Solanum lycopersicum: one gene and its partners. The protein of the gene in region 1 binds, or shares a complex with, the protein of each later gene. Links are inferred from orthologs where the notes say so. Each region holds a gene or a part of one and is shown on either strand. Other genes may lie near its edges. The genes, in order: suppressor of mec-8 and unc-52 protein homolog 2, putative serine/arginine-rich splicing factor and serine/arginine-rich splicing factor SR45a.

The links.
Region 2: suppressor of mec-8 and unc-52 protein homolog 2 (region 1) and putative serine/arginine-rich splicing factor share a complex: the UniProt entries of both Arabidopsis thaliana proteins name them as parts of the spliceosome. The link is inferred for Solanum lycopersicum from reciprocal best matches to the Arabidopsis thaliana genes SMU2 and SCL28.
Region 3: suppressor of mec-8 and unc-52 protein homolog 2 (region 1) and serine/arginine-rich splicing factor SR45a share a complex: the UniProt entries of both Arabidopsis thaliana proteins name them as parts of the spliceosome. The link is inferred for Solanum lycopersicum from reciprocal best matches to the Arabidopsis thaliana genes SMU2 and SR45a.

What each region holds. Positions count from the first base shown.
Region 1 is NC_090806.1:9,689,377-9,691,710, reverse strand, and holds the end of suppressor of mec-8 and unc-52 protein homolog 2, read right to left. Parts: intron 2,179-2,334; coding exon 1,838-2,178; intron 1,603-1,837; coding exon 1,228-1,602; intron 1,032-1,227; coding exon 762-1,031; 3' UTR 550-761; downstream 1-549. UniProt on the Arabidopsis thaliana protein: Auxiliary spliceosomal protein involved in splicing of specific pre-mRNAs that affect multiple aspects of development.
Region 2 is NC_090800.1:76,022,166-76,025,871, reverse strand, and holds the end of putative serine/arginine-rich splicing factor, read left to right. Parts: coding exon 1-108; intron 109-227; coding exon 228-286; intron 287-406; coding exon 407-446; intron 447-1,314; exon of another isoform or gene 1,315-1,865; intron 1,866-2,079; coding exon 2,080-2,382; intron 2,383-2,798; coding exon 2,799-2,805; 3' UTR 2,806-3,063; downstream 3,064-3,706. UniProt on the Arabidopsis thaliana protein: Involved in intron recognition and spliceosome assembly. Probably active at the 5' splice sites.
Region 3 is NC_090805.1:50,114,461-50,118,220, reverse strand, and holds the start of serine/arginine-rich splicing factor SR45a, read right to left. Parts: upstream 2,573-3,760; 5' UTR 2,450-2,572; intron 1,568-2,449; coding exon 1,545-1,567; intron 1,471-1,544; coding exon 1,393-1,470; intron 1,320-1,392; coding exon 1,208-1,319; intron 1,045-1,207; coding exon 895-1,044; intron 513-894; coding exon 449-512; intron 364-448; coding exon 1-363. Other genes in the region: PCNA (proliferating cell nuclear antigen), read left to right, coding at 3,626-3,760. UniProt on the Arabidopsis thaliana protein: Probable splicing factor involved in constitutive and/or alternative splicing events. May bridge the 5' and 3' components of the spliceosome.

The DNA of each region.
Region 1 (2,334 bases):
AACACCTTCCACCATCTCCTAATGTGAAAGGAGGTAGTATTACTATTCTATCCATCTCCTAATGCATGTCAAAATTAGATAAAAGTATTACTCTTCTATCCATCTCCTAATGCATGTCAAAATTAGATAAAAGTATTACTATTCTATCCATCTCCTAATGCATGTCAAAATTAGATGAAAGTATTACTATTCTATCCATCTCCTAATGCATGTCAAAATTAGATAAAATTTAAACCATGCATGTACAAATGTAGCAAGAAATTTTTTAAAACAACATAAATTTCAAAATCAAGGAAATCTAGAGCTGAAAACCTAAACACTATCAAACTTACGACTTCATTTGCCTCACATAACTGTAAACCTCAACTCTCACTTCTAATAAGGATAAGGAAGTAATAATACATTCATTCACTAATAACTAGTCTCTACATTAATAATATTGATATACTCTAATCAACTACAAACAACCCCTTATATTTTACAAAAATTAACTTGTATAATTAGAATCCACTTCAATCATCATAAAAAATTTCCATATATGTTATAGTATTTTATAAAATAACATTTATATTTCAGATTTAAAATAAATAAAGCGATACGTGTTTATACTAGCACGATATTCTGAACACTAAATCAAGACACGATATTCTGAACACTAAATCAAGACATAGTACTAATTCAAATTCAAGATATTCTGAACAGTAAAATGTAGAGGAAGATCTAAAAAAACAAAAAGATCAAAGTTTTATCTGTCTGTTTGTTCATACACGCTGCTTCTTTCCAGGTTGTATTTCACCGTCTTCAAGTGCTTCACCTTTGTCTTTCTCCATCTTCTTTCTGGTGAGTATTTTGTTTATCTTATGCAGCTCATTCGTAAGCTTCTGGTCTTTGTTTTGTTTCCTCGTCTTCCTACCATCCTGCATCTTCACTCCAAACTGGAATGCAGCTTTCGGCATTGCTTCCTTCTGCTCATTGTATGTCGCCCACTCCTCTTCTGTCTCAAAGTCCCAACGATGAAGCCTTCCCTTTGCCTACAATGCATCACAACATCAAAGAAAAATTAGAGTTGTATCTTCGTACAATTTTAAAAAATGTAATTATTTTCAGTTATGTGAGGCAATTGAAGTTTCCTTTACAGGGACCAACATTTTGTAGGTTTCAAAAGTACGGGGGAAGGGGTGAACTAAGAAATGGCATAATCTTCAGCAAGAACAGAGTATCACTTACGCGTCCACCCATGTCCATTTTTGACAAATCAGCTTCATCATCACTGTCAACAACCTCACGATTGTACTCTTGGTAACCAGGATAGCACTCCGAATAGCTTTCAGAAATAAAGTTAGGATCCTTCTCTCTGGCATCTCTCTCTCTCAATTGCAGAAGCCTCTGATCATCCCTCTTGAACACTGACCCTAGGCCTCTATCCTTTTCTTCTTGAGTCATAAACTGTGGATCCTGAAGACCGTCAACATCAGCTTGCATATCATAATTCTGCTGGAGATATTGCTCAGGATAAGCCACCTGTTCAGGATACTGATAATCTTGCCACTCTGGTTGGTAAACACCAGCTACCGCTTGTGCTTGCGCTGCATCATATCCATTCTGGACAGATCAAACATATTCAACAATCAAAAGATGAGTAATAGTTGCAACACATAGTAAAATCTAATTAAGGGAGTAAATAAAGTAAAGTCGACAAATACGATGGAGGGCATCCAATTTCTTCCTTTCTTCGTATAAATGTAGGAAAAAGAATCTAGGCAGATTTTGTCATAAAATATTGTTAAGCATTTTAAACAGGAATGATCTAATGCCTTACAACTCAAAACTGACTCACCGTGTATTGCCAATCATGAGAAGGCTCAGATGGAGGTACTGGGCCATAGGCAGGTTCACTGAAATATGAGGTTCTCTCTTTGTTTCGAGGAGATTCTTCCATGTCCTCCGATACAGGGCTTTGACCCATATCTCCAGCAGGAACGGAGTAGTCAACGCCTTCCCCTATGAAGATATCTTCTTCTTCAGGTCTAGCAACAACAGGTCCCTGAACCTCTCTTCTTTCTGAATGGTTCTTTTTAGGAAGTTGTGCAGATGGATGCACAGTTTCTTTATCAATTTGGCTCTTTGATGCATCCGACTTCAATACTTCGTCATAACCATTGGATATAACTGTCTTCCCTGTACAATATTGAAAACTTGTGTCAGAACACAGAACAAGGATATAGAAGTGCAGCTCCTTATCAATGAAGAGAAGAGATAACTCACCACCAACAAAAGAACAAGAAAAGGGCAAAAGGGACCCCCTCCCCCAGCTCTTCATTAATGTACAGGTGA
Region 2 (3,706 bases), on another chromosome or scaffold:
AAAAGCACACTTGAACAATACAGTTATTGGTGGACGTGATATTAGGATTGTTTTTGCTGAGGATAATCGAAAGACCCCTCGAGAAATGCGCAAGGTCTTAAGCACAAGGTGCATATATGTGGTTTGCTTCAAGTTGCAACCATGTTGATTATCAATCTCTTTTCCAGCTCAAGTGTTATTCACCCACTTCACTGAATCTAAGTCTACTACTTTTCCTGTTTAACTAGTGGACCTAGTGCTCGAGGCAGCTACTGGAGACACAGTTCACCAAGTCGTAGATATCACTGTCAGTTAGAATTTCAACTCACACTTCTTTATAATAGTTGTTTAGTTTCTTAAGAACAAGTGTTAGAGTCAAAAGTTTTTTTTTCCTCTAAAGATTAATGGTTTAGAATTTCTATGGCAGCTTACTCGCGCTCGGCTTCTCCAGCAAGACGTGACTCAAGGTCTGTGTTTCATAACAGAAATTTTGCTTGTTGTTCTAGTATTATTTACTTGTATTGAAAGTAAGGACTGTAACTGATTCTAATGGGACAAAATTTAAGAAGAATATCTATTGGAATGTAAGAAATGTGAAGCCTGTAGTCGTATCAGCAACAAATTTGTTGCCCTACTATGCATAAGTTCAACTATCAAGACAAAATTAGTCCCTTTTCCTACATTTAGATAAATATTTTTCTGAAGAGAGACTTAGCACATTGATCTGCTTGCGTCTCTTGCTGTATTATGGTGCATGCCCTTAGTCAAAACTTCTTTTTTATAAATTGCAGTTGTATGCCTTGTATATTTAAGATGCTCTGTAATTGGGTGCTATTTATCTCTTTTTCTTTCTGTTATTTTGTAATGCTAATATACTTTTATACATTTTAACCTTTCTTTTGGTACATATAGTTCCTAAGTTGGGAGTTAGTAGAAAGGAGAGATAATTGACATTGGTGGATCTTCCCCAATTTTGTACCATTTCCAAAAACTCAGTTGGTATCTGATGGTTTTATGCTTGTTCTTCCTCTTTGGCGGTTCGGAACGTAGGAGAGTGAAGTAGGATGGTTTATTTGGTGAAGTGGTGGTAGCATCACTATATCCACTTGATTTTAGGAATTGATCTTTTCTTTAGTTATTTGTCTGTTATCTTGTGTACTTTGAATGCCGAGGCTTTCTCAGTCCCTTTGGCTGGAAGCTTTTTAGGCTCGTTGGCTTTCTAATTTGTTGAATACTCACACTATTATCTTGAGATTGTGTCAAATTTCTAGCAGGCATAATTCATCTATCCTGTAGATTTTTGAATGACATCTGCTGGTGGCTTTATTAATGCAGATGCTAAATTGAGAAAGAGACTTAAAGAATTCTGGACTAATAAAGACAATTGAGAAAAGGGACCATATCACCATAAAGTCAAAGACTCTTGCTCATGAAATGTGATGAATCTCCAGAAGTTCCAAATCACCATCATCAAAGTTCATGTGATTTTCCTTTTGTGGATTTTTTTCTAGTAAGGGATGAGCTTTCTACTGTACCATGGAGAACCAATTGAAGTGGTCTGGACATATTACAATCACAAAAGGCCTTCATTTGCTTATCTTAAAATTCATGTTTAATTTCTAAACAATGCACAATGTCCAGTTAGGGAGATAATTTAGAGCTTATAGTTGGCAAAAGAAATCATCTTCAAAGTGGCAATAATTTTCGAAGCTTTTAGTCATTGACATTTGGTGAGAATGCTTGAGGAAAGATATCTCGAGATTTTTAAAGTTGGGCAAAGGAGAGCTTTGAAGTGATCAGATGCTGAAGAACTGTATCATATAGTGTGCTTAAACAGTGTCTGGATTAAACTGTAGTTTTTTCCAGACAATGAAATGAGGATACAGGTAAAGGTTTTGGTTTAGTAGATAAGATATTGAATGAATCTACCTTTGTGGTTTTGTTAAATGTCAACTTTATTTTGTGAGTTGGTATAGCAGTCATTTGATGACCAGAGCTAGTTTCTACTTGTTTGCACTGCTTTCAGCAGCAATATCTATTGCAAAAACTACATTGCATTGCACTTTTTATTAAGTGGCTTAATTACACTATTGTTCACAGGGACAGGGATCATGAGAAGAATCATGATGATGATTACTACTCGCCAAGGAGATCCAGGTCACAGTCTCGGTCTATTTCTCCAAGGGATGACAGAAATTGTAGGTCTAAAGGAAGATCTTCAAGACAATCAAGACCAATGTCAAGGTCAAATTCTCCATGCATTCAGAAAAAAGGCAGGTTCATCAGCATGACTCCAAGAGATAATAGTCAGATTGCTCATGATGTGGACTCCACCCCAAGGAGGCTCAAGAGTCCTGGAAGAAATGGAGGTAGTTCAGCCAGATCTCCGTCTAGGTCCTACAGGTTTGTGAAGATGTCAATTTTGTGAAGTTTGAATAGGAATTTTTGAAATCAACTCTGTCGATTGAAATCATGTCTTTTCGATATTTCTGTACTCTGTTACATTTTTTCCTCCTTCATATTCACATACACCTATCCTTTTAGTGGATCCCGAGGAACATCGTGGAAACACCACGATGCTCTGCATCGAATCCCACCCTTTTGATGTAGATAGTTGGTGGTTGAGCTGTTGCCTTGACTTGACATTTAATTTTTCGAGTCATTATGTTCTCTTGGATTTGATTGGAAAAGTTGCATACTACTGCTGGTGACGAGCTTTGTCGTATAGTATTTGTGATATGCTACTAACCTGGTTCTATTGGTGATCTCCCCTTGATTAATTTGACTAAATTGTTCTTTTTTACCATCCCTCCTTGCAGTCGTTGACGGTTTGCTCATTGTTATCACCATCTGCTGATCTTTTTTGGAGGTCTTGGGAATATCTTGGTCTAGATGATTGGACACATGCAAACTATAATAGATTGTTACATCTGTTATATTTATGTTTTGTTTCTTTTTGTCCATCATGTCACTCTAGACCTATGGACTATTGTAATATATAGCTGAGTCGTGGGTTGAATTTGGTTATTTCTGTTTATGTGCTACTTGTTCTCTATATATGAAGTTACAATGGACTTAAAGCAATGTTGCTACTTGTCCTCTTTTCTCATGTAACTATCCTTGTGCCTCTGATATCTGTGTAGTTTTTGCTCAAATCTTTTAGTTTATATAAATGAATTTTGGAATCCATTCTAAAGTCATTAACAACTCTTTAAAGGTTGTAAGATGGGTGAATCACTAGATGATCGTTTTCCTTTTGATAAGAAACTTATTTTTAAAAGGAAGTCACAGAAGAATAGTACTCCCGACCTAGTTTGATTTGGCACGACATTTAAGAAAATAAAGAAATTTTTGAATCTTCTGGTTCTAAATTAAAATTATGTCAAATATACAAAAATGTTTTTTAATCATGTAACTTAAACCTGTCATGTGGAGGATTGAAATTAAAATTTTATTAAAAAAAAGTGTGTTTTTTTTAAACAGGCTTAGGAGGAAAGTAGATTTTTTTTTTTTTTGTAATAGAGAGAATAATCGTTTTTCAAGTATCAATTTTAGCAAACAATCAAGGACTAACTATGTTTAGAAATAAACTTTCTCTATTTTAAAATAAGTTCTATTTTAACAAAAAGTACTATTCCAAGACAAACATCGCCTCAGAATTTGAAGACAAAAAATAATGTTTTTTCAACTATATTTTCAGACTCAATTTTCAAATAAAAGTTTTTAT
Region 3 (3,760 bases), on another chromosome or scaffold:
GGTCATCTGGAGAATAGGAACGATCACGCCGATGATTGTCGGGAGAATAGTCATGGTAACGGCTCCTTCTGTAATAACAGTCATCTGGAGAGTAGGACCGATCACGCCCATTATATGGGGATAAAGATCGAGAGTAAGATCTTCCACGACTATAGTAAGGAGAATAAGGTGATTCTGAGTAGCAGTGGTGCCGACTGTAATACGATGAGTGAGATCTCTGGCGTCCTCTGTAATAAGAGTATGATCTATGCTCTTGTCGGTAATATGGAGAGTAAGACCTGCTCCTGCTCCTGTAGCTTTCAGATGAGTAACAAGGAGAGTGATTCCTTGAATAATGAGGATAAGTTCGTGATTCACGACGAACTACATTTACAAGGTGGAAATTAGAAGACATCACAGACAAATAACCCAGGTCAATTATTGCTTAGGAAAGGATACAATATCATACCGCGAACAGTTCTAAGCCCCAAATATTTTCCTGGAGTAGGTGTTCTACCTCTTCTCCTCCTGGCCTGCATAGGATACAATTGTCAGACAGCAAATCTAGACTCTGGCAGGTTGATGCAATATAACAATATCACGATATAAGTAACCAATAGAAAATGAACAATAGCAACAAGGGCGCAGCTGAATAAAGAAAAATGAAGGCTACAACCCTCTGGTTGACAGTCTGTTTGCTTGATGTGTTTTGATTTGTTATTTGGACTTTGGTGAAGAGCTGCTACACACAGCTACCTTGCTGCCAAAGAAACTCAGGCGAAACAAGCAAACAACTTTCAAACTGATCAAATTACTGAAGCAAATATAAGATATTGATACAACTGAGAGCTGATACCAGCGAAAATTGCAAACATAAGATTCAACAAAACTGAGCAAATATTCAATAAATTCTACCTTCTCCACGGTGATAACTCTGCCTTCAAGTATTGAGCGATTCAGAGACTTGATGCAGCGATCAGCCTCCTCAACGCTGGACATCGTCACGAAACCAAACCCACGAGATTCGTGGGTCCATGGGTCTAAAACAAGACGAACATCTTCAACCTAACCAGAGAAAAAAGCATTTAATGAGGTTGATATCCTCGACAATGTGAACGCACATGGGAGCAAATCCTACGGAGTTCTTTTCTTTTGAATAAAGTGCAAAAGACCTAAATGAACTGACTACAGAGAACGGGAAGGCAATCTGAAGAAGCAACAAACATACCTTCCCCTCAGCAGAAAAATGCTTCTCAATATCTCGCTCCTTAACGCGGGTTGAGAGACCAGTCACATACAAATTGTTCCCTGGGTTCTCAACATCACTTGAATCACAGCTCCTGCCATTATAATAAAGTTAAATAACATGAACTCTAATTACCACCATATTAATAGAACATTGCCAACATGTACCTTGACCGACTCCTTGAAACACATCTGGACCTTGAGACAGACTTGCTATATCGATCGTATGAAGGTGAGCGAGAATACCTGCAATATAAATGTCATATTGAACATGACTAGGAATAATGACCATATAAAACCCATATTAAGACCAACAATACCTTGACCTCCTGGAGTACGACATCTGCAGTTAACATCAAACAGAATGGTAAGCTTAGGCTAATAATATTGAGAAGAAAGACGATAAAACAGGGTGTTTTATCACAAACCCAGCAGATATATAGTAAGTAAAACCATCAAATCAAGATCACTGATTTGTCAAACAATACAAAACTAACCGATGCAGACAATATAATTCCTCTAAATCGACTCTGCCTCACTCTGTCTACTCCGTTTCAATAACGGAACATCAATTTATCTTTTGATTTAAATTAAAGGTTTCCTAATTCCCATCTTATATTCTCCTCTATTACTTTACCTTTTAGCTTCTAGAATCCCAGCAATCATAAAAGTAGAAAGTAAAGTTCTCCTTGGTGATTAAAGGATAACAAACTATGCGATAGGATCATAGTTTGAAATTTGTCAAACCAAGCAGACAACAACAATTAGCTACTGATAAAAATAGAGGCGGATCAAGTACTTAAAACTTTTATATAAGGATAATAGAACTGAACCAATTCCACTTTTATGCTTTAATTCTGACTTTAAATCTATAACACTGGTAACGCTTTACACATCTATATATATTTATGCTCCCGTGGATGTACTGGAATTCAAAAGGATCAGTGTGAAAAGCATTAATTGCTATATGTCAAAACAACAAAATCACAAATCAACTCAAAGACAAAAATACACAATAAACCAAAAATCGACCGAGACTGTTTAGTTCTCTATGTTCTGGGCAAAAAATGAACGGAAGAATCATCTAATCCGCTTAGGTAATAGAAAATTCAATTTGAATCAAACGTTGATGCCGATCACAAACGCAAATGACATACAATCTCATCAGCTTTTTAGCTAATTCGTATCGAAGAAAGGAATTAAGAGATGGAAAAAGAAGACTCACCGTGAAGAGATTATGGTAGCGTAGGATCGAAATACTTCTCTTTCTCTCTCTAATTTGCGAAGGCTCTCGAAATAAAATGACTCGGTTGGGAAAGGCTTTCTACTATATACCTGTAGCGTAAAGAAGTTTCTAGATGAGGGACACGAAATCCTTTTTGATTGGACTTGAATTTGTCACATTATTCTACCAAACCAAAAAAAAAAAAAATTGTTTCTATCCATATTTAAATGGAGAAATTTTCGTATATAGTCATTTAAAATAGCTAATTACTCTCTATAACTATAGTTTAATAATTATAATTCGTAACTATGTGTTATATGGAGGAGAGAAACAAGCGAGACCGGAGGAGAGAAACAAGCGAGACCGGGAGAGAGTGAGAGAAAGGTGAAATATACATGTATATCATTTAGTAATTGTATATTATACATATGTATTTGTATATATGGCAAAGTGAGAGAATGAGAAGAAAGAGAGAAGCGAGCGAGACTAGGAGAGGAAGGAGAGAGGCGAGCGAGACAGGGCAGAGAGTGGGAGAGAGGTGAATTGTATGTGTGTGTAAATGTATGCTATACATATACATTTGTATATAGGGCAAGCGAGATTGGAAAAGGGAGGAGAGAGGTGAGGGAGATTGGGAGAGTGAGGAGAGAGGCGAGCGAGAGGGGAGAGAGGTGAATTGTATATATATAGGTTGAATAATTATATATTATACATATGTATTTGTATATTCTGGCGAATTATACATATACAAACGTGACTATTATACAAACTCAAAATTAGTTCACGTAATTAATGTATAATATTAATTACGAGTGATAATTATAGTAAATTATAACTATGATAAGTAATTTTAATAGTATAAATCTATTTTGTTGCGTAATTTTTTCTATTTGAATATGAGAGATTAAAACCCAAGGCCTTTCTCGAAGCAGGCCCAATTGATTTATGGGCTCAAGTAGCCCAAAATCAAAATAATGGCGGGAACTTATTTTATTTTCTGACAATTCATTTCCCGCCAATAGGGAGCCCTATATTCTCGAGCACACTTTTCCAGCAGCTATATAAACCCTAACCCCATTACTCCACTCATTTTCGCTCTATTTTTCATTCAGACACCTCTGTTTTCCCTCCTTCCCCATTTCAAAACCCTAACCCTAGTTTCCCGCAGAGGACAAAATGTTGGAACTACGTCTTGTTCAGGGAAGTCTGCTGAAGAAAGTTCTAGAATCGATTAAGGATCTGGTGAACGATGCGAACTTTGATTGTTCCGCCACTGGATTCTCTCTGCAAGCCATGGACTCCAGTCACGTG